3 linked regions of the Pelodiscus sinensis genome follow. The protein of the gene in region 1 purifies or fractionates together with the protein of each later gene. This does not show direct contact. Links are inferred from orthologs where the notes say so. Each region holds a gene or a part of one and is shown in the gene's direction. Other genes may lie near its edges.

Evidence for each region. The genes of interacting proteins can lie anywhere in the genome.
Region 2: the proteins of CUL4B (region 1) and TRPC4AP purify together in Homo sapiens (affinity purification with mass spectrometry; 4 studies listed by BioGRID and IntAct, counting the BioPlex papers as one, with this or other methods). This does not show direct contact. The link is inferred for Pelodiscus sinensis from reciprocal best matches to the Homo sapiens genes CUL4B and TRPC4AP.
Region 3: the proteins of CUL4B (region 1) and COP1 purify together in Homo sapiens (affinity purification with western blotting; 4 studies listed by BioGRID and IntAct, with this or other methods). This does not show direct contact. The link is inferred for Pelodiscus sinensis from reciprocal best matches to the Homo sapiens genes CUL4B and COP1.

What each region holds. Positions count from the first base shown.
Region 1 is NC_134723.1:33,772,550-33,780,425, forward strand, and holds the start of CUL4B (cullin-4B), read left to right. Parts: upstream 1-4,861; 5' UTR 4,862-4,978; coding exon 4,979-4,997; intron 4,998-7,876. Other genes in the region: MCTS1 (malignant T-cell-amplified sequence 1), read right to left, coding at 110-120.
Region 2 is NC_134728.1:33,288,658-33,296,343, reverse strand, and holds the start of TRPC4AP (short transient receptor potential channel 4-associated protein), read left to right. Parts: upstream 1-4,683; 5' UTR 4,684-4,730; coding exon 4,731-4,841; intron 4,842-7,686. UniProt on the Homo sapiens protein: Substrate-recognition component of a DCX (DDB1-CUL4-X-box) E3 ubiquitin-protein ligase complex required for cell cycle control.
Region 3 is NC_134719.1:61,208,507-61,216,126, forward strand, and holds the start of COP1 (E3 ubiquitin-protein ligase COP1), read left to right. Parts: upstream 1-4,617; 5' UTR 4,618-4,689; coding exon 4,690-5,039; intron 5,040-7,620. UniProt on the Homo sapiens protein: E3 ubiquitin-protein ligase that mediates ubiquitination and subsequent proteasomal degradation of target proteins.

The sequences.
Region 1 (7,876 bases):
GCCCCGGAATCCGCAGGGCTCAGCGCCGCCAAGGAGGGCAGGGCCCGGCCCCACGAGGGGCGCCCCCCGCCCATCCCCGCCCGCCGGGGAACACGCCCCCCTCACCTACTTTTTGAACATCTTGGGGGCGCTGGGTGCCGGCCGCAGGCGGCGGGCGGGTCCCTGGGGGCCGCGCGGACGGAGGGGCTGGAGGCGGAACTGGCATCCACGGGCTCCCTAGGTTCTTCACACGCGGCTCCGGACCTTCCGTCCGCCTCAGCCGGAAGCTGGCCTACTTTACGGCATTGTCGCACGGCACCATCGCAAAAAAAAAAAAAAAAAAAAAAAAAAAAAGGCGCGTGACGAGCGGCCGGAGGGGGGTTGGGGCGCGCACTACAACTCCCGGCGGCCAACGCGCGGCACCCCCTCGCCGGCAGGTCTGCCGCCCCGTGACGCAAATCTCCGATTCCCGCGCGGGGCCCGTCCCGCCTTCGCTCAGCCGGGCACAGAGCCCGAGCGTCCCCCTGGCTCTCCGCGCGCCGAGGCGGGACACAGCCCCTCGCGACACGCGCGTGCGCGTCGCAACCCCTGCAAGCCCCGCTCCCTCTGTCTGGCAAGCCCGCACCTTTCCTCGGGCTGGCTGTGGGGAACCCTGGTTACAGTGCTGGTCTATGGAGCTATACCTAGCCGTCTCATAGCGCTGGAAGGGACCAGTCCCCTGCCCTCACTGCAGGACCGAGAACCATCCCTGGCAGAGTTTGCCCCCGATTCCCTAAATAGCCCCCTTAAGGTTTGTGCTCGCAACTGTGGTTTTAGCAGGCCCATGCTCACACCAGTCAGCTATTCCTCCCCGCTGCGAAGGAGTTACTTCCTGAAGTGCGTGGACTCAGGCTCTGCCACTTAGAGACTGAAAAGCACGTTTAAGAAGTCAACATGCCCCAATGCTATCTTCTAACTTAGGGTACGTCCAGACTACATGCCTCCATCGACGGAAGCATGTAGATTAGCCAGATCGGCAGAGGGAAATGAAGCCGCGATTAAAATAATCGCGGCTTCATTTAAATTTAAATGGCTGCCCCGCTCTGCCGATCAGCTGTTTGTCGGCAGATCGGGGCAGTCTGGACGTTCCCCTGTCGCCAGAAAACCCTTTTGTCGACCGCCCCGTTATGCCTCGTGGGATGAGGCATAACGGGGCGGTCGACAAAAGGGTTTTCTGGCGACGGGAACGTCCAGACTGCCCCGATCTGCCGACAAACAGCTGATCGGCAGAGCGGGGCAGCCATTTAAATTTAAATGAAGCCGCGATTATTTTAATCGCGGCTTCATTTCCCTCTGCTGATCTGGCTAATCTACATGCCTCCGTCGACGGAGGCATGTAGTCTGGACGTACCCTCAGATGGCAAAGGAGAGAAAGGACAAATTTGGGGGGGAGGGTACAGTGGAGGGGAAATGAGGCCATGGCACCAAAATCAGGGGTGGGCCACAGATTGCCTATTTCAGTCAACTGAAAGGCGGCTGGGGGAGAGGCAGACTGGGACAGTGCTTCCTGGTGCTCTCATTGTCTGTGGACAGTAATCCGTGGATACCTGTCGAAGCACAGGTAAATATGGAGGTTGGGGCCCACCAGGAACTAAACCTGCAGGCTGGAATTTGCCCATCCCTGCTCTAAATCCTACTATGTGGCAAACAGGTTGGTAGTGTCAATATCTATACCATAAGACAAATACCCAAGTCCTCCATGCTTGTACTGAAATCCATGTTTCCTTAGGGAACATTCTACTACCTGCTGCACATGACAGCAAATTATGCCTTCTCTCTCCCATAGCTTCATGAGGATGAAGCTGAATGAATTGCAACTAAGAGTTTTCTGACTACTATGGGGCAGGGGGCGGGGGGGGGGGGGGAGATTCAAAAGGAACTCACTTTCATTGAAGACTAACCCTTGGTGTGGTTTCTCAGAGAAGCAGTTCTTGAGAAATTCCAAAATAACAAGTCTGAATTATTTTCAAGTGAGAAATCTGTAAAACAATCTGATTCACTTCAAACTGGGAAAATTTAAAACACACACACTAAAATAGACCAGAGTCAGATATCATGCAGATTGGTTTGAGAAAAAAAGTTATTGGAGAAGGCCAACTTTTCCTGCAAAAAGGGCTCCATCAACACACGTACAAGAGGAGACTTGGGAGGGTGGCCTTGTAGTTGGTACCAAGTAGGCATGAAGGAAATTTCAGTTAAGTTCCTGGCTCTCTTGATGACTTAATAGACAATCATAGCCAAGTCACTTAGGCCTGTAGTAAGTTAAAGGCCTGTAACATAAAAACAGCAGGCCTGAAATCTAGTGAACAAGACTTTGGCTCAGTGAAACCGGAGGCAGGAAAGAGGCTTGGCTAAAGAAAAATAATATAAGCCAGGTCAAGCATAAAGAATGCCAAAAGGTACCAGGCACAGGCTGCAAACACATTCCAGAGAAGTTGTAACAGAATGCCTGGCTAAGAAACATCTTGGTACCAACCGCTTCCCCACAAATAAAGTGCATACCAACCTAGGTTCAGGACCAGGTCGAAGTTGACAGCATGACGGGTTGGCTACGTCTAGACTACATCCCTTTTTCGTAAAAGAGATGTAAATTAGACGTATTGCAATTGCTAATGAAGCAGGAATTTAAATCTCCCCTGCTTCATTAGCATAAAAATGGCTGCCGCTTTTTTTTCGGCACAGAGCTTTGCCAGAAAAAAGCGCCAGTCTAGACACTGATCTTGCGGAAAATAAAGCCTTTTACGAAAGATCCCTTATCCCTCTATGAAATTGCTCTGGCCCCGGCTGAAGCCTGTAAAATCCCTGGGTTTCATGGGAATGCCTTCTTCAGGATAAGCAGTGGAATGAAGCAGGGATACAACCCCAACACACAGAAATGTCAGCGCCCCTTATTGTCAAAGTAGTTCCTCAAAGCCTCCCTGATATTGATAAGCCATCTTACGGGCTCCTCCGACAGCATGATTGTCTGGCTGTTCAAACTGTGCATCTGGGTGCTGTCTCTCACTGTTCCACCCACAGGCAAACACTTCACCCTAACTCTCATACAAATTATATGAGCAACAGCATGCAGCCACCATCTTGGGGATATGATCCTCCAAAAAGTCCACTGAGACACCTCCATTTCCCTTTCAGTCTCCCACAGGCACATTCAGCAATGTGGCATCAGCTTAGCCTGTTGCTGAACCGCTTCTTACTACTGTTGAAGTGCCCCTTGTAAGGCTTTATGAGCCAGGTCTGTAAGGGGTAAGTTGGGGTTACCTAGGATCATTTCCACTTCCTCCACTAATTTTCTGTTATGGAAAGAAAGTCAGCCTGAGGCTTTCTGTACAGCCACTGTTCCTGAAAACGCATGCATCGTGCACTTCTCCAACCACCCCATATTTATATCTGTGAAATGCCTACAGTGATCCACAGGTGCCTGAAGCTTCATGAAGAAGTACCCTTCCGATTGATGTAGTCTGTGGCAGGCGGGGTGGCGCTATAATGGGAATACATGTGCCAATTGCCCCGCCAGTTTAGAAAGACCATTTCAGCAAAGTCAACCACTATTTATGTCATCCACATTTCTCAGACTCCCAGTCCTACACAGCAAAATATGATTTATTGCCCTGCACACTTGCATAAGTGCTGTCCTGACAGTAGACTTCTGTTACCTACAAGCTCTGTGTTCTTGGGGAACCAGGGTGTGGTGCTCATGGAGGACACCCACCTCACTCCAGCCCTCTGCTTGAACCAAAGACAAAGACAGAGGAAGACACACCTAAACCCTCTAGACAAGGGTGATAGGATTAAGTAAACACCCCTATACAACAGCATGGAAGACAGGAGAGGACAGACAGACATCTTTATTTGCATACAGAATGGAGAACAGCACTTCCCTGGTGGGAAATCTCTGCTCTAGATGCTAATGAACCCATGCTCAAACCCAAATCAGTAATTATCAAACCAATTTTAGCAATAGGCCCTCTATTGATATCCATTATATGATTTACAATATAAATCATCATGCTTCAGAACATAAGCCAACTTCTGCATGAGAGGTATTAGGAAAAGTCTTTCCCTGTGAGCAGGTTATTCCATAACTCTTCAATCTTTCTTTACACTTTCCTGTGAAGCATCTGGCAATGACAGCTATCAGAAACTGGATACCGGATGGGTAGGAATACCGGTCTGATCAGGTATGACAATTCTTATATTTCTCTGATGCTAGGGTTGAGATTTCACAGTAAGATACATTGGACAGAGACCTTAAGTTCTCAAAAAGGAAGGCTTCTATTTTACATTTTTATGTAATTTTGTAAAATTAGCAGATAAATACATCCTAAATTGATCACAAACCTACTGCACTGTAATGGTTCCACATTATTTTTCCTTGTTAATTACTAACATCTGACTACATCCTGATACATGAATTGAAATGTTGTCTTATGTACCACTATAAAAATTTTACTAGCTATTGCACAACAAAGCCTTCATTATGCTTTCAGAAGCATTGCTTGTTTGTTACTTGCAGCCTTAACACTACTTTCCTGGGTGTTATTCCCCACACTCAAAAAATAGTCCATCAAAAAGAAAGGAGAAGTAATTATTAACATTATTCAACACAGAGTATTTTGAAACTACAAAATAGTCTTAAAAATTAACAGAACAAAAGCTATCCTTCTCTCCCCTCTGAATTCCAAATAAGGCCCCATGTATTGCAGGGTGGAAAAAGATCCGTTTCTTGAAGACTGAACACTGACACTGGTTAGGGAGTGTGTCACTGGAGGAGATCCTGGCACCAAAGGTAAGGAAAGTTAAAGAGCCATTTCTGAAGGTCGAGGTGGAGTGGAACAACAGTGGCCTCCTATGAAGATCCCAGCTGCTGGAAGGGGGAATGGGTTCTGGTGAAGACAGTTATGTTTTATATATTTGATTAGGACCAAATTATAGCGTATCTGGTGATGGTTCTGATAACTGGATGTACAGTCACCACCATGGTAATTAGCACAAAGATCATAGATTAAATAAGTTACAATAGATTAATTTAAGTATCCATCAATATTTTATTGGGTCAGACTAGACATAAATGCTTTTGTTCTTTATACAGCTGATAGAAAAAGGAAAACATACAGATGAGCTCCAATCCTGCTCCTATAGAAGCCAATGGTAGATTTCTAATAGACTTCAGTGAAAACAGGATCAAACCCATTGAGTATGCAAACTGCTAGGTTATTTTTCTAGGCAAAGTGAACTGAACAACCTTGATACTGTACAATTTACTAGGGCCTAATGTTTAATAAAATTATAACTATGATACACAGTATAAAATGATACCTGCATAAAAAGCAACATTTATTCAAATGGTAAAATAAACATACTCATGGAGAAATGATAAATATATGAAATTCAGAGAGATTAAGGAATTCCAACATTATATAAATACTCAAGTATATAAATAAGTAATTTAAAAAGCAATTATTTGTAGTCTCATTTGAAAAAAATAATTAGGGACCTCATTCAATACAAATAGTCTTGTTATTCTCTCACTGGAGTATAAACAAGGGGGAAATTTGACACTAACTATTCCAAGAGGATTTTCTTTGAGCTTTGTGGAAGACATTTATTTTCTGTAATACAGCTACATCTTAGTAAGCATAGCCTTGCTAGACATGGTTACCCTTTTTTAGAGGGCTACAGTTAAGAAATTACTGTATTCACACAATATGCAAATAGCATGAAGAACAGGCCAAATGTTGCCCCCAATAACACAGCCATAAACCTGGAATGATTTCAGTGTACCTAAATATATAACCAGTAAAACTGAGAGCATAATTTGGCCACAGGGATCACACAAAAGGCTTCCACCAGGAAACTAGTATCTCCCGTCTTCTGATAAGATGAACTCTTTCTGTCTCACTGGGTTCCAAAACAGGATATCCACCACCTCTGTTTTTCAGTTCTCCCAGGTTCTTTTCTGCATATGAGTGTCTTTGGAGGCACATCTGCAAACCAAGACTTCAAGGCTACTTTAATTTTTGCATGATTGGAATGTTTGCATATAGACTGAATAAATTCCAAAGCATTTATAATGAAGTTTTGTAATGCAACTGTTCATCATTATTAATCTCACCAAGATTTACACGGAAGCCAGGGCACTCCCTGTTTCTTAGCTTGCATAACACCTTAATTAGCAGTGGCATTTCTACACTGAGTACCTCATGCAAGCTACTTTGCACTCTCAACTCCAAATGAAATCACCTAGCAGGTTCTAAATAGGGATGTGAAAGGTTAACTAGTTAAACAGTGTGGCCTAGAGCAGCTCCCCACTTGCCATGGCAGCCCCATCCACAGTGGGCCCAGGCACCTGCAGGCAGGGGCTACTCCAGCCTGTCCAGAGCAGCCACTGTCTGCAGCAGGGGAGGAGAGGACAGTCAGGATGTTAAGAGGCAGGTAATTGTATTGACTACACAATTAGTCTATAGGGGAAGGTGCTAAGTCCCAGATCATGCCAGATGTAAGAGCTACTTCCAATGCAGCTTTGCAGTTTAAATGTAGTAAGAGCTGGGTGCGCAGGCAGCCCAGCTCAGTCCCAACTTGAGCCGGGTCCAGGACCTACCACAGCTATGGCTCTGCATTTTAAATATAGTCAGAGCCAGGTGCACATTTTACTACAGGTTGAACCTCTCTAATCCAGTACTCTCTCATCCAGAAACATCTGTTGTCCAGAATGATTTTAGTTAGCTGGATGTCCACCTTTCATGGATGTGGCCAAGTTTCCCACAGTCCAATAAAGTTTGTTTACAGCCACCAGTCCTAGCTCTCAGTGGAAGTGTTGGTAATGCTGCTAGACAATACTGACTTCCTGTAGTCCAGAAAATCCTCTCGTTCAGAACTGGTCAAGTCCCAAGGGTGCCGAACTAGAGAGGCTCAATCTGTACACTTAAAATGCAGAGCTGCAGCAAGGATAGGTCCCAAACCCACTACAAACTGGGACTGAGCCAAGCTTGCTCAGTCTTCACATCAGGTCCAGCAGCCACCCCCAACCCTCTACCCCTCGCAGACAGGGACTGCTGCTGGAGCAGCCTCTGCTCACTGCGAGCCTGAGCCCACTGCGGCCAACCTCTCCTTCCCCCCACTACACACACACTGCTGTACCTGATAGAGGCAGCCGCACAGGGGAGGGGAAGGCTTCACCAGAGAGACGGTGCTGGGGGAACGGGCTTTTAAATCAGCTCCTCCCAGCAATGGTTCCTGCTTCCCCCCCTTGATGCCCCTCATACAGAGGCTGCAAGGGGCAGGAGGGAATGCAAGTAGTCAGCCTAGGCTTATCGGGTAGTCAAGAATTTGACTGCTCTCTTACATCCCTAGAGGAGAAGCAGCACTGGGGTAGCAAGACTGCTCCACCCCAACTGGGCTGGGGCACGCCCCCTCCCTTTACTCAGTTAACCAGTTAAACAATTTGTTTAATCAGTTAACCAATGAAATAGCATTTTACATCCCTAGTTCTAAGTATACAGCATTTAAAATTCTCAAATAGCTTCGGAGACATGAAGAAGCAGACAGGGAAGAGCAAACTGATAAAGACTAGCTAAACTAACTAGACTAAAAAGTAATAAAAGCAACACTTATATTTTACCTTTCTTATTACACTATTAGTAACCACATAATTGCACACTTATTCTATTACACATCGGCTCAAAAGCAATTTCCAAAATATCTTGCATATGGAAAAAATGCAAGGTTTTAAGTCTGAGCTCTTTATTTCTAGTATTCAGACAAAAAAAGATTTCCAGCAAAACTCGGTAAAATTTCTTCCAGATCTCTGTAAACCATGCTTTCTGTCAAGAAACGTTAGTGTTATCTTTTTTTAGCATAA
Region 2 (7,686 bases), on another chromosome or scaffold:
GTCTACACTGCCCCTTCTTGCGCAAGAAAAACCCTCTTGCTCAACGCCGTTCTTCCTGAAAAGTACTAGGTGTAACGGCATGCGCAAGAGGGCTTTTCTTGCGCAAGAAGGGGCAGTGTAGACGCTCCTTGCGCAAGAGCCTCTTCTGAAAAAAATGGTGGCTCATTAGGTATGCAAATGAGGCTCGGCGATATGCCACGCTTAGCCTCATTTGCATATTACTCACGCAAGAAGCCGCGAGTGTAGACATAGCCTTGGAGTCCTGTGATTTAGAGTCACTCTGCTATAGAGGTGCCCTTGCAGGCCTGGACTCTGTTCATTCAAACTCCCGAATACATCTGACACAGGCACGAAGGCCCCTCTTCCTTTGGGAATGCAGAAAATCAACAGGTGCTTGCACGGGTGCACAGCATGTGTCTCAGTTCAGAAAACCATCCCAGCACTTTTCAGCCTGAGAGCTCTTTCACTTCCGTGTGGAACAGGCATAACCGGTCCCCAAGTGCTCATGCAGGAAGAGAGAATAGAAGGTCTTGGAGAAATGCACCATCCGTGCAAGGCCACCCTGTATATGGGCGGTCACGCAGCAAGAAGGCTGCTACTCTGTAGGTCAAACGCAGCCTGCTGGCGTGGCATTTGTGATGCAGGTGTGGACATGGGATGTGACCTCTCTCAGGCCAAATTTGGCCCATTGGACCTATGACTGCATCTGCTGGCGGCAGCAGTCAGGGTGTGGGGACTTCAGAGCTATATACTGGATCACGTTCATTAGACATTATAGAGAGGAAACTCGGATCTACCCAGGCATTGCAACCCTTGGCTACCCTGAAGTCATTCCAGAAAGTAGCAGGGGCAGCCCAAATGTGAGAGGGGCAGGTGGGCTTCAGTCTTTGCTTCCATGAGCATCCTCTTTTCCAGCTGCCAGAGCAGCAGCCGTGGCTCTCACAGGTGGGGCAGTGAACGCTGTTACCCCTTGGCAGCCTGTACTGGAGTGGGGGTGGGGTCGCAGGGTTTGGGCAGCCCCTCAGGTCTGTCTATTACTGAATGAGAGTCTCTGTGTGCCTAGGCGAGGTATCCAGACCAGACATCCTATCAGAGCAATCCCAGGCCCAGCGATGCATGACATGCCTTACTACTGTTTCCCAAACACGGGTTGAGCCCATGTCTCTGGCATTGGAAAGCATCCTGCATCTATGTTCAGAGCCCTCCAGAAAACCTTACCATCCTTTCTATGGACCGTTGTGTTGCAGAGTCACAAAGCTGTTGCCATTTCCAGTTCTCCCTGCCCCAGAAGTACCTTCTCCCACCCCCCTCCTGGTTTCTTTTAGCTCCCCAGACATGTAAGAGGAGTTGGGGAGTGTGAAAACAGCTCTGCTTGCTGGAGTTCGGCAGATGCCTGGCAAGGGGAGATGTAGGTGCTCTGATAGCGTAGTAACGAGCGTCATTCTCGCCTCTACAGCGATGTTGCTACTACACAACCCTCTTTTAAAACATGTCAGGTTGGTGAAACACTCATTCCAAAACGAAGGTTCTGCGCAACCTTCCTATAGTTCTGCCCTTTGTGGCAGGCCTCATGCAACAGGCTCTGGCTGCGTGATGATGTCGTTTTTTCCACGATACCCGTCAAGGCTGTTCCCTACTCTGTCAATCTGATTGCAGAAGGTGAGGGCCCTCAGGTAACTTTAAAATACCCTGCCTCTAAAGGCTTCTGCTTCAAAACCCCAAGGTCACATACCCTGGGCCTGGGCTGCGTATTGCAAAACCTCTTTGAGTAGCCAGGAGAGCACCCTTGGGAATTCCTGTTTGTGGATACCTGCAAGCTCTTTAACCTTCACACTGGAGAGAGCTTGGAAAACTAATTTCTCCTAGTAGTCCAGCTTGCAGTCTTAGGCACATCACAGGCACGCAGAACCTCCTAGGACACAGGGATCAGATCATGGTCTTACAATGGTGATTTTTAATAACAACGAGAACAAAAAAGCAAACACACTTGGTGAAACATTGCCTGGTTGCTGGGTGTTACTTAAAAAAAGGGGATTAAAATACAGAGAAGTGCTTCCCTGAGATTCAGTTTGGAAAATTGCAGTGTAAGGGGGGTTATATGTGCTCAGCACAGAGAAGTCCAACAAACCCGAAAATAAAGAAATCACCTGATTGTGTCTGACTAAACATTCCCTGTTCTACTCACATCTCTGTAGTGTCAAGACTTAACCCTTTCCTAGGCATGGATGTCGCTGAATCCTCCAGCTCTGTTTTCCTGCCTTAACTCCTGTCTCCCAGGCGTTGCACAGGAAGGTTGCTTCTTCCAATTCAAGCGCTCACATTCGCTTTCCTTTGGCTCTTCTGGCTTCCTGCCAATTCACTTCCTGCTTCCCCAGCATTCCTGGAGACTCACTAGGACCCACTGTCTGTGGTTTTAACCCTTACAGGCAAGACAATTAGGGTTAGGTCTGGAGTTAACCCCTGAGAAAAGACATTAGTTAACTGAATGGCTGGAATGCCCAGAAAAGGGTATTGCCCCTCCCCCATGCATTATGTAACTACTACTGAAACCTGAGGGCTACGTCTACACTGGCCCCTTTTCCGGAAGGGGCATGTAAATTTCACTAGTCGTCGTAGGGAAATCCGCGGGGGATTTAAATATCCCCCGCGGCATTTAAATAAAAATGTCCGCCGCTTTTTTCCGGCTTTTAAAAAAGCCGGAAAAGAGCGTCTACACTGGCCCCGATCCTCCGGAAAAAGTGCCCTTTTCCGGAGGGTCTTATTCCTTTGAAGTAGGAATAAGACCCTCTGGAAAAGGGCACTTTTTCCGGAGGATCGGGGCCAGTGTAGACGCTCTTTTCCGGCTTTTTTAAAAGCCGGAAAAAAGCGGCGGACATTTTTATTTAAATGCCGCGGGGGATATTTAAATCCCCCGCGGATTTCCCTACGACGACTAGTGAAATTTACATGCCCCTTCCGGAAAAGGGGCCAGTGTAGACGTAGCCGGGATGTCTGGACCCACAGACAAATCAAAGGGTGGGCTGCACACAAGTGAGAAGCAAACAAGAAACCCCTCACTGCCATGGCCCCCGACTGAGGGAAAAGACTCTCCCTACATTCCCCTCACACACCAGAGCCTAGGGGGGCTCAGCCTAGTAGATTTGGGGGGCTCCAGCCCCTTGGTGGAGAAGCAGAGAAGAAGTGGGGGCATTGGAGCACCATTGCAGACTCCCCAATCCTGTGAGGGTCCGTGAGCCCCAGGGGCTGGATCCAAGCAGCCCCCTGGATCTCAGGTTCCCCACCCCTGCTCTAGAGCTTGAGCTACAAAGCCAGCTGGCTCTCAGCTGTGGCTGCAGCGCTCCCTTGTTCTTGTCTCTCGCTGTCAGTGGTCTAAGTGCCGCTACATGGGACAGTGACTCAGCTCACTGTTCAAACCACCACTGACTAGGGAAGAGTAATGGCCTCATGATCTTTTCCAGCCCAAGCATCACTGACATTACAGGCAAGTAATAACGCCTGGCTCCTATGTAGTATTTCTCACCAGTAGATCTCAAAGCACATCGCAATCTTTAGTTTATTTTTCCTCTCTGCCACATTTTGCTATAATTCTTATTATATAGAAGGGGGACTGAGGCACGGTGCCCAAGTAAAGCACCCAATGTCACATGGGAAGTCTGTGGCAGAGCAGGGAGTTAAACGTGGGTCTCCCAAGACGCAGTGCCCTAACCACTAGGCAGGGCTTGTTTTGCATGTCTCCTCCTTTCTCAGAGGGAATGTTCTCTTCATGTGACAAATGAAATGGGGAAACGATGGCTGCAGAGATCCAGTCTCTGCTCTTTGTGAATGGCTGGGTGACTGGAGCACACAGACTGGGGTTTTCGGGGAACTTTTCTCTATTCCGAGCATTTAAGGGTCTCAGGCCTTCAAGGTACCGCAGAGGCGCAGGGCTCTGAGTCCCAGCTGGGGGAGGGTGAACAGGCACAGCAGGGAGAGGACAGCGAGGGGGGAGCATGTCAAGGGCCGACGGGAGCAGGGCTGCATTATGACTTTCGTGGGCCCTAGGCACGTTTGCACCATAATAATATCCAAGGCTGGACAAATAGGCTGTGTCTACACTGGCCCTTCTTCAGAAGAGGCATGCTAATTTCTAACTTTGGAATAGGGAAATCCGCGGGGGATTTAAATAAACATGGCCGCCGCTTTTTTCCAGCTTGGGGAAAAGCCGGAAAAGAGCGTCCAGACTGGCGCGATCCTCCGGAATAAAGCCCTTTGCCGGAGGATCTCTTATTCCTACTGCAGCTCGGCGAGCCCTGAAATATCGACATTCAACATTATCTGTATCTAACGTGCAGCAGCGACTCTTCCGTTTCCGGCCCCACGGAACCGATTCCGTGGGCCCCAGAAGTTTCTTTTTTTTCTGATGTGAGAAAAAAATTAAAACATTTTCCCCCACCCTGACAGTTCATTTTCCCCTCGATTGTAGGAGCAATGAACACGTGTCCGCGGGCCCCGGTGACGTGCGCAGCCCCCCGCGCGAGGGCGCCAATAGGGCGCTGTCTCTTTAAGAAGGGGGCCTCCGGCCGCCCCGCGCAGGACTACAACTCCCAGCGGCCCCCGGGCGGCTCCCCCGCCCCGCAGTGCGGCCGGGGCCCGGCGGGGGGCGCTGCGGGATGGCCCCTGCGCCGCTCCGTACAAAGCGCTGGGGGAGGGGGCGCCTCTTCCTGTTTGTCTGCGTCCGAGGCGGAGCGGCCATGGCGGCGGCGGGGGCCCCGGGGCCGGGAGCCCGCAGGGGGGCGGCCAACATCCTGGCCCAGCTGCGGCGCGGGCAGCTCAGCGGCCGGGGCCTGACCCGGGGGGCGCAGGTACCGCGGGGCGGGGCGGCCTGTCCCGGGGCGCGCGGCGCTTCCCGCCCCCAGCCCGGGCTGCGGGCTCGGCCCGGCCCCGCCCCCGGGCTCGGCTCCCCCCCGCGCGGCGAAACTCCGCGTGACTCCCCCCCGCCCCCGCCCGGGGGAAGGGCAGGCGCCTGCCTGGCGGGGGGGCGGGGCGCTCGTGTCCCCCCCCGAAAGATCCGCCCGGTCTCTGCTGTTCGGGGCGCGAGGGCTCCGCCAGGCCTTATCTGCGGGGGGGTCAGACGTGCTGAGCGGCAGCACTTGGCCGGGCTCCTGCTCGGCGCCGCCAGCCCCGGCCGCTTGGGCCCTGCAGGCTTTGGCTCCCCCCTGCCTGCCCCCCCGGCACGGCCCGCGGCAGCGCTGGGCACGGGGAGTGCGCGCCCCTTTTGTGACTCCTTCCCCCGCCGCCGCGGTGTTAGCGTGAAACAAGCAGGAGAGGGGCAGCGTCCAAGCGCTGTTCTGAGCTTGCATTTGGATTAGTGGTGGGAATGGAAGGCAGGGATGCTAGTGGTGAACTGGTAAACCTCGGCCTTCACAGGCTTCCCAACTGCATTAACCTGCAGGAGTTCGCTCCACTCAACCAGTTAAACAGGATTTTACATCCCTAAGTAGCTCTCCATTCTGAAGAGAAATGGAACTTGGCATGGAGTTAGGATATAACCCAAAATATTAAGCTTATTTTTGATTCAGTGGCATGCATGACCTAGTGGCTTTAGTGCTGAGTAAGATCTGGTTCCTCACCTGTTGAGTAGCGGGCCAGTCTTTGTGTTCTATTAAAATACTACTGACCATGACTGAAATCTCTGGTTTCTCTGTTAGTTTCAAGGACTATAGGGAATGAAGTCTGTTTCTTGCTTATGCTGTATGTTCTGCAGTCTTGGAAAGCAGTGCATGGGTGCCAGACTACTAGCTGTTGTTAATATAAAGAAAGTAGCATTTATTTTGGAGGAAAATGTGAATCAATGGGACTCGAAACAAGTTCTCTGTCTGTATATTTTATGGCCGTGGTCACCAACCAGTAGATCGCGATCTACCGGTAGATCTCAGGGGCTCTAAGAGTAGTTCTTGAGCCCTCTCTGAACTGCGCACCTGCGCAGTACATTTACATTAGATTTCCTCATGTAATGTAGGTGGGGCTTCAAGGAAGGGGCGGGGCAGTAGATCTTCGCCTGTTCTGAGACTTAAAAAGTGATCTTGGGTGTAAAAAGGTTGGAGACCACTGCTTTATGGCAATGCTCCCTTCCTCTCCCCTAGTAGAAATACCAGCAAAGAAGGTTCACGGGTTTGACAGAGTCTTGGCTAATGAGAAGCGACCTCTACCCTTTACGTTCTTGATGTTGGGTGGGGTTTGGGACAAAAGATTATTTCAGTGGAAACGAAGAGTATTTGTATTTAAGCACTTTCCAACTGTCCAGTATATTGTCCAGTCTGAGTAAAATGACTTTTCAACAGCTTTTACTTTTCTTTATATTTTGTTAACCTATTAATTTAACCTTTCCATGGCCTCTTGAAAATGAGTTTGTTTTCCGCAAATCATTTAACGTGGGTAACTTGTTCAGGGTCTGAGTTGTGCTTTTTTTTGTGTGCTTACTATAGCAGATACTCATGCTATACACATTTAAGTAAATGATCATATGTATAATGCAATGACACCTTCCTGTGCATTCACTTTAGATGTTTGTACACCTTCATTTTATGCATCGTATTAGTTGTATTTTTGTCAGTGCTTTTGTAAAAAGTTTGATTAAATGTGACTACACCTGTGCAGTTTCCCAGAATACTAGGTTAGGATTTCTCTGCTAACTACATCTCTCCTTTTATAAAACTCACTGACTTGGCTGCATTGGAGAAACTTAAAGCTGAAGGCTGAGAGCTCCCAGTACTTAAGTGCCACAAGAACACTTCATTAAATTCCTTGGATTGAGGGAGCAATGGAATTGCTTGACAGGTTATGAACTGTATAATTGGCACAGGATTAGAACTTTACTATGGCATTAAAAATCATTTTAGTGGTGCAAGTGTTAAATGCTATGTATCTTTGTACACTTGCTTGGAGTTGGGAGATATTCAAGCTGGTATCATAATCTCATAACCAGGCATGTATTTCTTTTGTACTGGAGCAAATGCTGCTGCTGTTGTTTTATTTGTAATGCAGAGGCAGCAGCACAGGGTGATGGAGGCTCTCTGGGAGTGAGGCAGGGCACACTGGCTGCCCCTAAGAGTATTTTAGTAATCGTGTAACCATTGCAATTTATGGAGACGTGATTACTAAACATGGTCTCTGCTGTCCCTAATCTAGACCCTGTGAGGCAATCAGTGACCTTACTTGAGTATCTCATGATTTTTCTTGACATGAAGCTGTAGTAAGCAAATGGGTTCCTATATTCAGCACTAGCTCCAGTTTTCAGGCAATTTCAAGATCCAGCCCCAAGAAGGAAACAACATAGTGGCCTAGTCTTAAAAGTGGTAAAGGCATGAATAAATAAATGTTGCAAAGTCTGCATCTGGAAGGTACAGTGGTTCTAGGCTTACCAGGAACAGATGGGGAAAAACTTGTCTGGCTACAGCTGGTATCTGAATATCTAGCCAGATGCCTAAACTGTGGACAGCCCATAGCAAATGGTTGCCATATTCTCAGCAAGAATCTTTCCAGCTCTTCCTGGCTACTTCTCAAATCTGCAGACATTATCTCCATCTTATCTGGATTGAGATTCAGCCAGTTAGCCCTCATCCAGGCAAACACTAATCACCAGTAAGAGACTAGGTCAATCCACTGTTCTGCATTAGGAAGGTCCCATAATAGAGGCATAGAGCAGAG
Region 3 (7,620 bases), on another chromosome or scaffold:
CTAAGAATTTGCTGCTACAGGTTGAACCTCTCTCATCTGGCAACATCTGTGGTCTGGCATGATGTGGTTAGCCAGATGTCCGCTGCACTGATCCGATGGTCAGCTGATCCGGCACAGCACGGCCGTCTAGACCTCGTTTCACTAGGCATACTGGAGTGGTTGACAAAGTCTTCCCTCGTCAACCGCGCCGCGTCTAGACTGCCACACTGTGCCAGATCAGCTGATCGTTGGCGCCGCGCGGCGGCCATTTTTATTTTAATGAAGTGGGGATTATTTAAATCCCCGCTTCATTGACTATGCCAAGTAAACTATTTTACATGGCTTCGTCGAGGGAGCCATTTAGTCTAGACGTACCCAGGGTGTTTAAGCACTGAAATAAATTGCCTAGGGAGGCTGTGGAATTTCCATCACTGGAGACTTTTAAGAGCAGGTTAGACTGTACTTAAAAAAAATTCACCAGACCACTGAGAGCCAAGGGACACATTAGTTCTCTACTACCTACCATTGAGGAAATAGAGCTATTAAAAAGTCCTATTAAAAATCACAACTCTCTCTCTCTTCTATTCTATCTATCTATCTATCTATCTATCTATCTATCTATCTATCTATCTATCTATCTATCTATACATTAGAGATTTGTGAGTCTGTCTGTGAATCTGTCTGTCTGTGTGTCTGCAAGTTCATTTATTCAAGAACTCCTCCTAAACGGTAAGTCCTATGACCACCAAATTTGGTATGCATACAGCTTCCTCTTATCCTAACTTAAAGCAAGGTCAGGGTTTGGCTGTGCCGAGCAAATGGGAAGTGCCGCGAATAGGACTGTTTTCCATAATACGGAAAGGGGGGCGGGCAGAGAGGAGGGATGCGATACTGAGAGTGACCACTGGGGGCAGCGAGCATGCAGGGGAGAGCTATACTGTAGAGTGGCCAATAGGACTAGGGCTCCACCATCTTGCCTGCCACCAGACTGGATAAGTAGCCCCTCCCCCAGCCTCCAATGCTGGGAGGTGGGGTGGGGAAGGCCCGTACTGGCTGGGAGAGCTGGGGGGAGACAAAAGGCTGCTGCCGGCCAGGGGGTTGGGGGAAGGTAGAAAGCCCTTGGTGGTGGGGATGGGGCTAGGAGGAGAGAAAAGGACCCTGTGGCCAGGGAGGCTGGGGCAGGGGGTGGGGGAGGAAGGAGACAGAAAGCCCCTGGCCAGTCCTCAGTGTCAAACAGCTAGCCAACACTTCCTTGTATTTAGAAAAAGTGCCAGTCTCACTTGCACTGAAGGACTGATGAAGGGCATATTGTTCCCAGTTACTTCTATGGTTGGGCTAGCCATCTTCATTACAGCTCTGGCAGAACAGTGTAGGTAAATGGAGACTGTGTCATAAAAGTCACAAATACAATTTATGCCGAGGAGAAGTGATGGGTGCAAAAGTGCAGAAACATATATTTCTATTAAGGTTCATTCAGCTGCAAACGCTTCCTTCCTTCCTTTCATTATTAAGATGCCCCAGTAATATTTGACTATGATAGAGAGTCTCCCTTTTTGTTTTGGGAATGTATTCTTAGTACATCATCTTCTGATCAGGACAATCAACACACAAGTAACCTTGCCACTATCATACGGTGGGACTGGAATACAGAATATTGTGAATGTGGAAGACAGGAGACTCTACAGGACAAATCTGCAAGAGGCAGAAATCCAAGCGTGTTTCTGGAAAGGTGTTCTCTCAACTGCGTGTACGTTTACTGCAGTTGTAAACAGCAGTGTTTCTCAACCAGTGGTCTGAGTACCCTTAGGGTAGAAATGTACCACTTAGGGGTACTTGAGAGAAGTCTGGGGAGGGGGGTTAGGGTTAGTCTGGGGAGGGGGGGGGGGGTACATCAACACAACTGAAATTTGGAGAAAACTGAATTTTTGTTGTAAGTTTTACAGCGCTTTATTATTTTTGTACTTTTTACACCCAAAAATTTCATCACCCACCCAGCTATGATTAAGTTGTTTAAACAAATGTGTTGCAATGGTAGAAAAAAAATGTGTTTGTCTGAAAACTGTAGGTACTGGGGGTACTTATAACTTTATAAAAAAATGTTGAGAAACACTGGTGTATACAATGCAAATGATCACACGTGCCAGCATGGAGTTTGGAGGGTAATTTTTGTGTATACAATCACCATAAATGCATGTGGAGCACTCTGGCCTAATGAGTTTGATTACAGCGCAGTCTGGAGGCTGTTCCCACAACCATATAATCCATTACTACTTCACTGTTAGAACAGCAGATAGAGAGATAAGATGGATGAGGTAATGCCTGTTATTAGACCAACTTCTGTCTGTGACAGAGACAAGCTTTGAGGTCTGGGCTCTGTGTGGCTCGAAAGTTTGTCTCTCACACCAATGGAAGGTGGTTGGATAAAAGTTATTACCTCATTTATCTTGCCTCATATCCTGTGACAAACTGAAAGTACAGCACGTAGGTAAAAAAAATCTTAAACTCAAATGGCAGACTTGCTTTTTTGATGCTGACAGTGCTGGGTTCAGTCTTTACGCACAACCATGGTATTTATATGCATGTGTTGCAAAGGCATGTACAGAAATGTGTGGACTTCCACACGTGCATTGGCTTGGATCAGTTTATTTCACTGCAATAACATTCTTCAAAGATATTATTTTGTTTTTAATCTCTGTAACTTTTTGGAATCAGTGGAAATATCTGAGAGCAGGATAGGCTATAGGCATTCCACTAGTTGCTATCAGTCTGTCTTGATCTTCAGTTTTGCAGCAACAGGAGTAGATATGAAAAGATTCAACCTATAACAGCTTATTTTCACATGAAGATGGCTGCAAAAGGAAACTAAGTGAAACAGATTAATTCTAGTCAGTTTCTCCTTGTAGCTAGCACCAGGTGAAGTACTAGATGTACTGAGAAACTGAATAATCCTGGTTAGTTTCTCTTCACAAGAGAGAAATATAGTCAAGTCATATTTTCACTAATATGGTGTGCTTCAGTTTTGGGTGTCCAATCTCAGACACCTCATGCTGGATTTCAACAAGTGTGTTGAGATGAACAAGATCTGGGTGGGGGTACTAGTGGGAGGGTAAACCTGACAATGTGGGAGAAGGGCAGGAGGAGGACTGAAAAAAGATACATTGGAATGTGGGATACAGGAAAGAAAATGGTGATTAATGGGATTGTAGACTATAAAAAGACTAAAAGGGCAAGGAATCAGGGTCAGAGATGGAGAAGTGGGGGAATATGTGGGGCAAAACCTGTGGGAAAGAATGTAGGGAGAAGAGACTAGGATAGACATAGCAGCAGAGGAGATAGGGAATAACTGATAGGCGGGTAACGGACGTAGTGCAGTGCTAAGGGAAGAGGAACAGGTTACAGAAATGTACCACTGCAGAGCTCTAAGGGTATGTCTACACTACCACCCTAGTTCGAACTAGGGTGGTAATTTAGGCAACTGGAGTTGCAAATGAAGCTCGGGATTTGAATTTCCCGGGCTTCATTTGCATAAAGCCGGGCGCCGCCATTTTTAAATGTCCGCTAGTGCGGACTCCATGCCGTGCGGCTACACATGGCACGGACTAGGTAGTTCGGACTAGGCTTCCTAGTCCGAACTACTGTTACTCCGTGAGTGCCTGGCATCTCCGAAAATCAGGCTGCAAGTGATTTGCTCAGAGTTGCAAAGCAAGGTGGGTACAGATTGTAGGAGTCCTCGAGTTGCCATCTGTCCCATCCACGTGTGGATAAGGCTGTAAGAAAACAGTGAGCCACGATTGTTGAGGAGACCACGTTAACACGGGTCCCGTAGTTGCCACAAATCTGAGTGGTGTTGTGATCCCTTGTGCCACGTCATAGTGTGGCTCACTCAACTTTGACCCGGCTGCTCTCCATCAGCCCAGTCACCACGCCGTCACAATGGGCGGTTGGGCCAAATCTAAGCGAGTGGTGTTGCACAGTCACCCCTCCCCTCCAATCCGGCCCTGCTGCTCCGCCATCCGGACTCGGCGGGGCCGGTGGCGGATGGGGTGGATGGAGGTGGGGTGCTGAGCAGCTTGGGGCCAGACTCCCTGTGCGGCTCGCCGGACTCGCTGTCCCAGCTTGGTGCCCGCCCTGGGCCGTGTGGGGCAGCTCCCCCTTGGCCAAGGGCAGGGACCTGCCTGCACCTTGGCCGTCCCAGCAGCAGGCCAGGCATGGGGCGGCCCCACAAGTGTGTGTGGGGGGGGCTAGACCTTGTGCCTGGCCTGGAACAGGCAGGCCCTCACCCAGCCCATGGGAGCCAGGCCCGGATGTGGGGGAGGGGAAAGAACGCAGCGCCAGCTGGGGAGTAAAGGGCTCTCACGCGTCCTCGTTCTGCGAGCCGCGCATGCGCCGCCCTTCTCGCTCTCTGTCCACACCCCCTCCCTCTGGCGAAACCCCATTCTTCCCCGCCGACCGCGCGCGTGCGCAGTGGCTGCTGAGCGCGCCTCGCCCCGCGTCTAGGCCCGCTGTCTCCCGCAGAGGAGGGGGGGGGGGCTGTCAATAAAGATTGAACAAGGCCGCAGAGGCGCGCGCCGGCCCGACTGCGCACGCGCGGCCCCCACCCCGCCGGGTGGGCGGCGCCGATTTTCAACAAAACTTTATTGTGCCCCGTGGCGGCGGCGGCGGCGGCGCCGCGCAGGATGCGCTGAGGCTCCCCCCCCGCCCGGCCTCGGCATGTCAGGCAGCCGGCAGCAGCCGTCGCCGCAGCACCCCCCGGCCGGGCAGGGCGCCGCGGCCTCCGCCGCCACGTCGCCCTCCTCCTCCTCCTCCTCCGCGCCGGCGGCGGCGCCGGGCTCCTGCTCCTCGTCCGCGGGGCTGGGGGGCCCCGCGCGGCCTGTGCTGGTGGCGGCCGCCGTGTCGGGCAGCGGGGCGGCGGCCTCCGTCCTCTCGCGCCTGGCGGGGGCGGCCCGGCCCGGCGGCGGCGGCGCGGCGGCGGGCGGCGGCAGCCGGAAGAGGCCGCTGCTGACCCCGCTCTGCAACGGGCTCCTCAACTCCTACGAGGACAAGAGCAACGACTTCGTGTGGTGAGCGCGGGGGGGGGGGCGCGGCCCCTCCCCCTGCACAGCCCGCGGGGGGGGGGCCCCTCCCCCTGCACAGCCCGCGGGGGGGGGGGTCCTGCAGGTTCCCCCCGCCGAGCCCGCTCTCTCCGCCCGGGGGGGGGGGGGGAGCGATGCGACATCCCGTGTCCTGGGCGAACGCGTGACGAGATGGCAAAGAGGCGAGCGGGGGAGGCGCTGCGGTCCTGTTGGATTGCGGCCCCCCCCCCCCCCCCGCCAGGCCGCCCTTCCCCTCTGTGGGCAGGGGCTGCTCCTGGCGCCTGCCCCCCTCCCTCTGCCACAGGCTGCACCCGCTGGGATACATTGGCTGTGCTGCAGCAGCGCCTGTCCCTGTGGGGCTGGAGAAGCCCCCCGTCTGCGGCAGCTCTAGCCCCCCGGGTTAGCCCTAACCAGTCAGCGTCACCCGTTAAGGCTCAACCCGTGACACCGACCTGTGTTTCCCTGAGGCTTGGGCCCTGGCAGGCTGAGGCCAGGAGGAAGTTTCAGAGATACAGGCCTTCCACTGGGGGTGAGCCTAGACTCGAGGTCTGGTCTAGGAGGTGGCCCGAGAGTCACCCGGCTACCGTAGTTCTGGGTAGGGCCCTACCAAATTCAGGGGTCGTTTGGTTTCATTTCATGGTCATAGGGTTTCAAACGTTATTGACTTGATAATGTCAGCAATTCAATCTGAAATTTTAGGCTGTTATAATTGCAGGCATCCAGACCCAAAAAAGTTTTTTTTTTGGGGGGGGGTTGTCACAAGGTTATTGTAAAGGAAGGGGTTTATGATACTGCTACCCTTACTTCTGCACTGCTGCTGATGGCAGCACTGCTTAAAGATGGGGTGGGATGATATTGTCCCCCCCTATTTTTGTGCTGGGGGGGAGGCAAGGGGGAGCTGCACTGCTTTCAGAACTGGGTGCCCAGCCAACAGCCATGGGTCTCTGGCCACCCAGCTCTGAAGGTGGCAGAAAAGTAAGGGAGGCAATACCATGACCCCTTACTTCCACAAATAATCTTACAATCCCCTGCAACCTCCTTTTGGGTCAGGACCTCCAATTTGAAAAACACTGGTCTCTTCTCATAACCCCCCGTATGAAATCTGTATTGTATATAGGGTAAAAACACACAAGATTAGATTTCCTAGTTGCTCCATGTGTGGCGGGGGAGAGGGGGAGAAAAGATTTAATTGTCACTGACATATTTTCCATGGCTGTGAAGTTGGTATGGCTCTGTAAGGGGGACCAGGGAGGAGCTCACCTACTGTGTGTGTGGGGGCGGGTTAGGGGGGTGGCGAAAAGCAGTGGGTTAGTGTGTGCACTCTGCTTACGTTGAGTACTTTATAAGAATAATTGTATTTTTTTAAAATGGTTAATGGCTGTGTTTAACCTTATTTTGACTTTAAACATGAGTATCCTCATAGGTGTTTGTGTTGTACATTGAGTGAGTTAATATTTTCTAATTTAGTGTATTTTTCTGTCGAGAAAGTCCTAAAATATTGGGTCTTAGTTTATAGATTATTTACAGGTGCACTAGAGTCTTCTCGTTAACCAATTGGTGTCCAGTATAAAGCACAGAGATTGTGCTGGTTGTATGTGGTAGTTGTATTTAAATCCACTTAAGACCAGCATTTTGCCTACCTAAAGTTTCAAGGTACAGTAAAACTCCATTGGTCTGGCACCCAATGCTCTGGCACTCCTGATGGTCTGGCACCATCAGGAACCCGGAAGTGCTCTGGCTGCCGGACAATTGGAGCTGCTCTGCGCCCGGCTTCCCTGATTCAGCCGCTGCTGAAACTGACCAGCAGCTGAATTGGTGAAGCCGGGGGCAGAGCAGCTGGGGTTCTGCCAGGTTGGTCCCGTAGCGCTGCCCCTCGGAGCTGCGGGACCAACCTGGCAGCACCCCAGCTGCTCTTCCCCAGGCATCCCCAAGTCAGCCGCTGCTGAAACTGACCAGCGGCTGACTCCAGGAAGCCCTGGGCACAGCTGCTCTGCCCCGGGCTTCCTGGAATCAGCCGCTGGTCAGTTTCAGCAGCGGCTGACTTGGGGATGCCTGGGGCAGAGCAGCTGGGGTGCTGCCGGGTTGGTCCTGTAGCGCCGCCCCTTGGACCAACCAGGTAGCGCCCCAGCTGCTCTGTTCCAGGTGTCCAGGATTCAGCTGCTGCTGAAACTGACCAGCAGCGGCTGAATCGGGGACGCCTGGGGCAGAGCCAGACTATCGGAAGGGGGGGCTATGAGGGGTCTGGGGTGGCATCCCTCCCACCCTACCCCAGACCCCTCATAGCCCCCCCTTCCGATAGTCTGGCATATCTGATAATCCGACACCCCCCCCCGGGTCCTAAAGGTGCCGGATTATCGGAAGTTTACGGTAATTAAGTACAACATGTTGCAATAGTGAGTTGTAAGGTTATAAGCCCAGAAGTCACTGGGTGAGATCCACATGGGGGAAAAAAAGATTTGCAGCAGACTTTAGATGAAAAAAACTACATGGCATATTTGCTATCTAAGTAAGCATCCTGAAAGAGCAATAGAGTCCTTCTCACTACAAAGTATAAAACATTGGCAAAGTC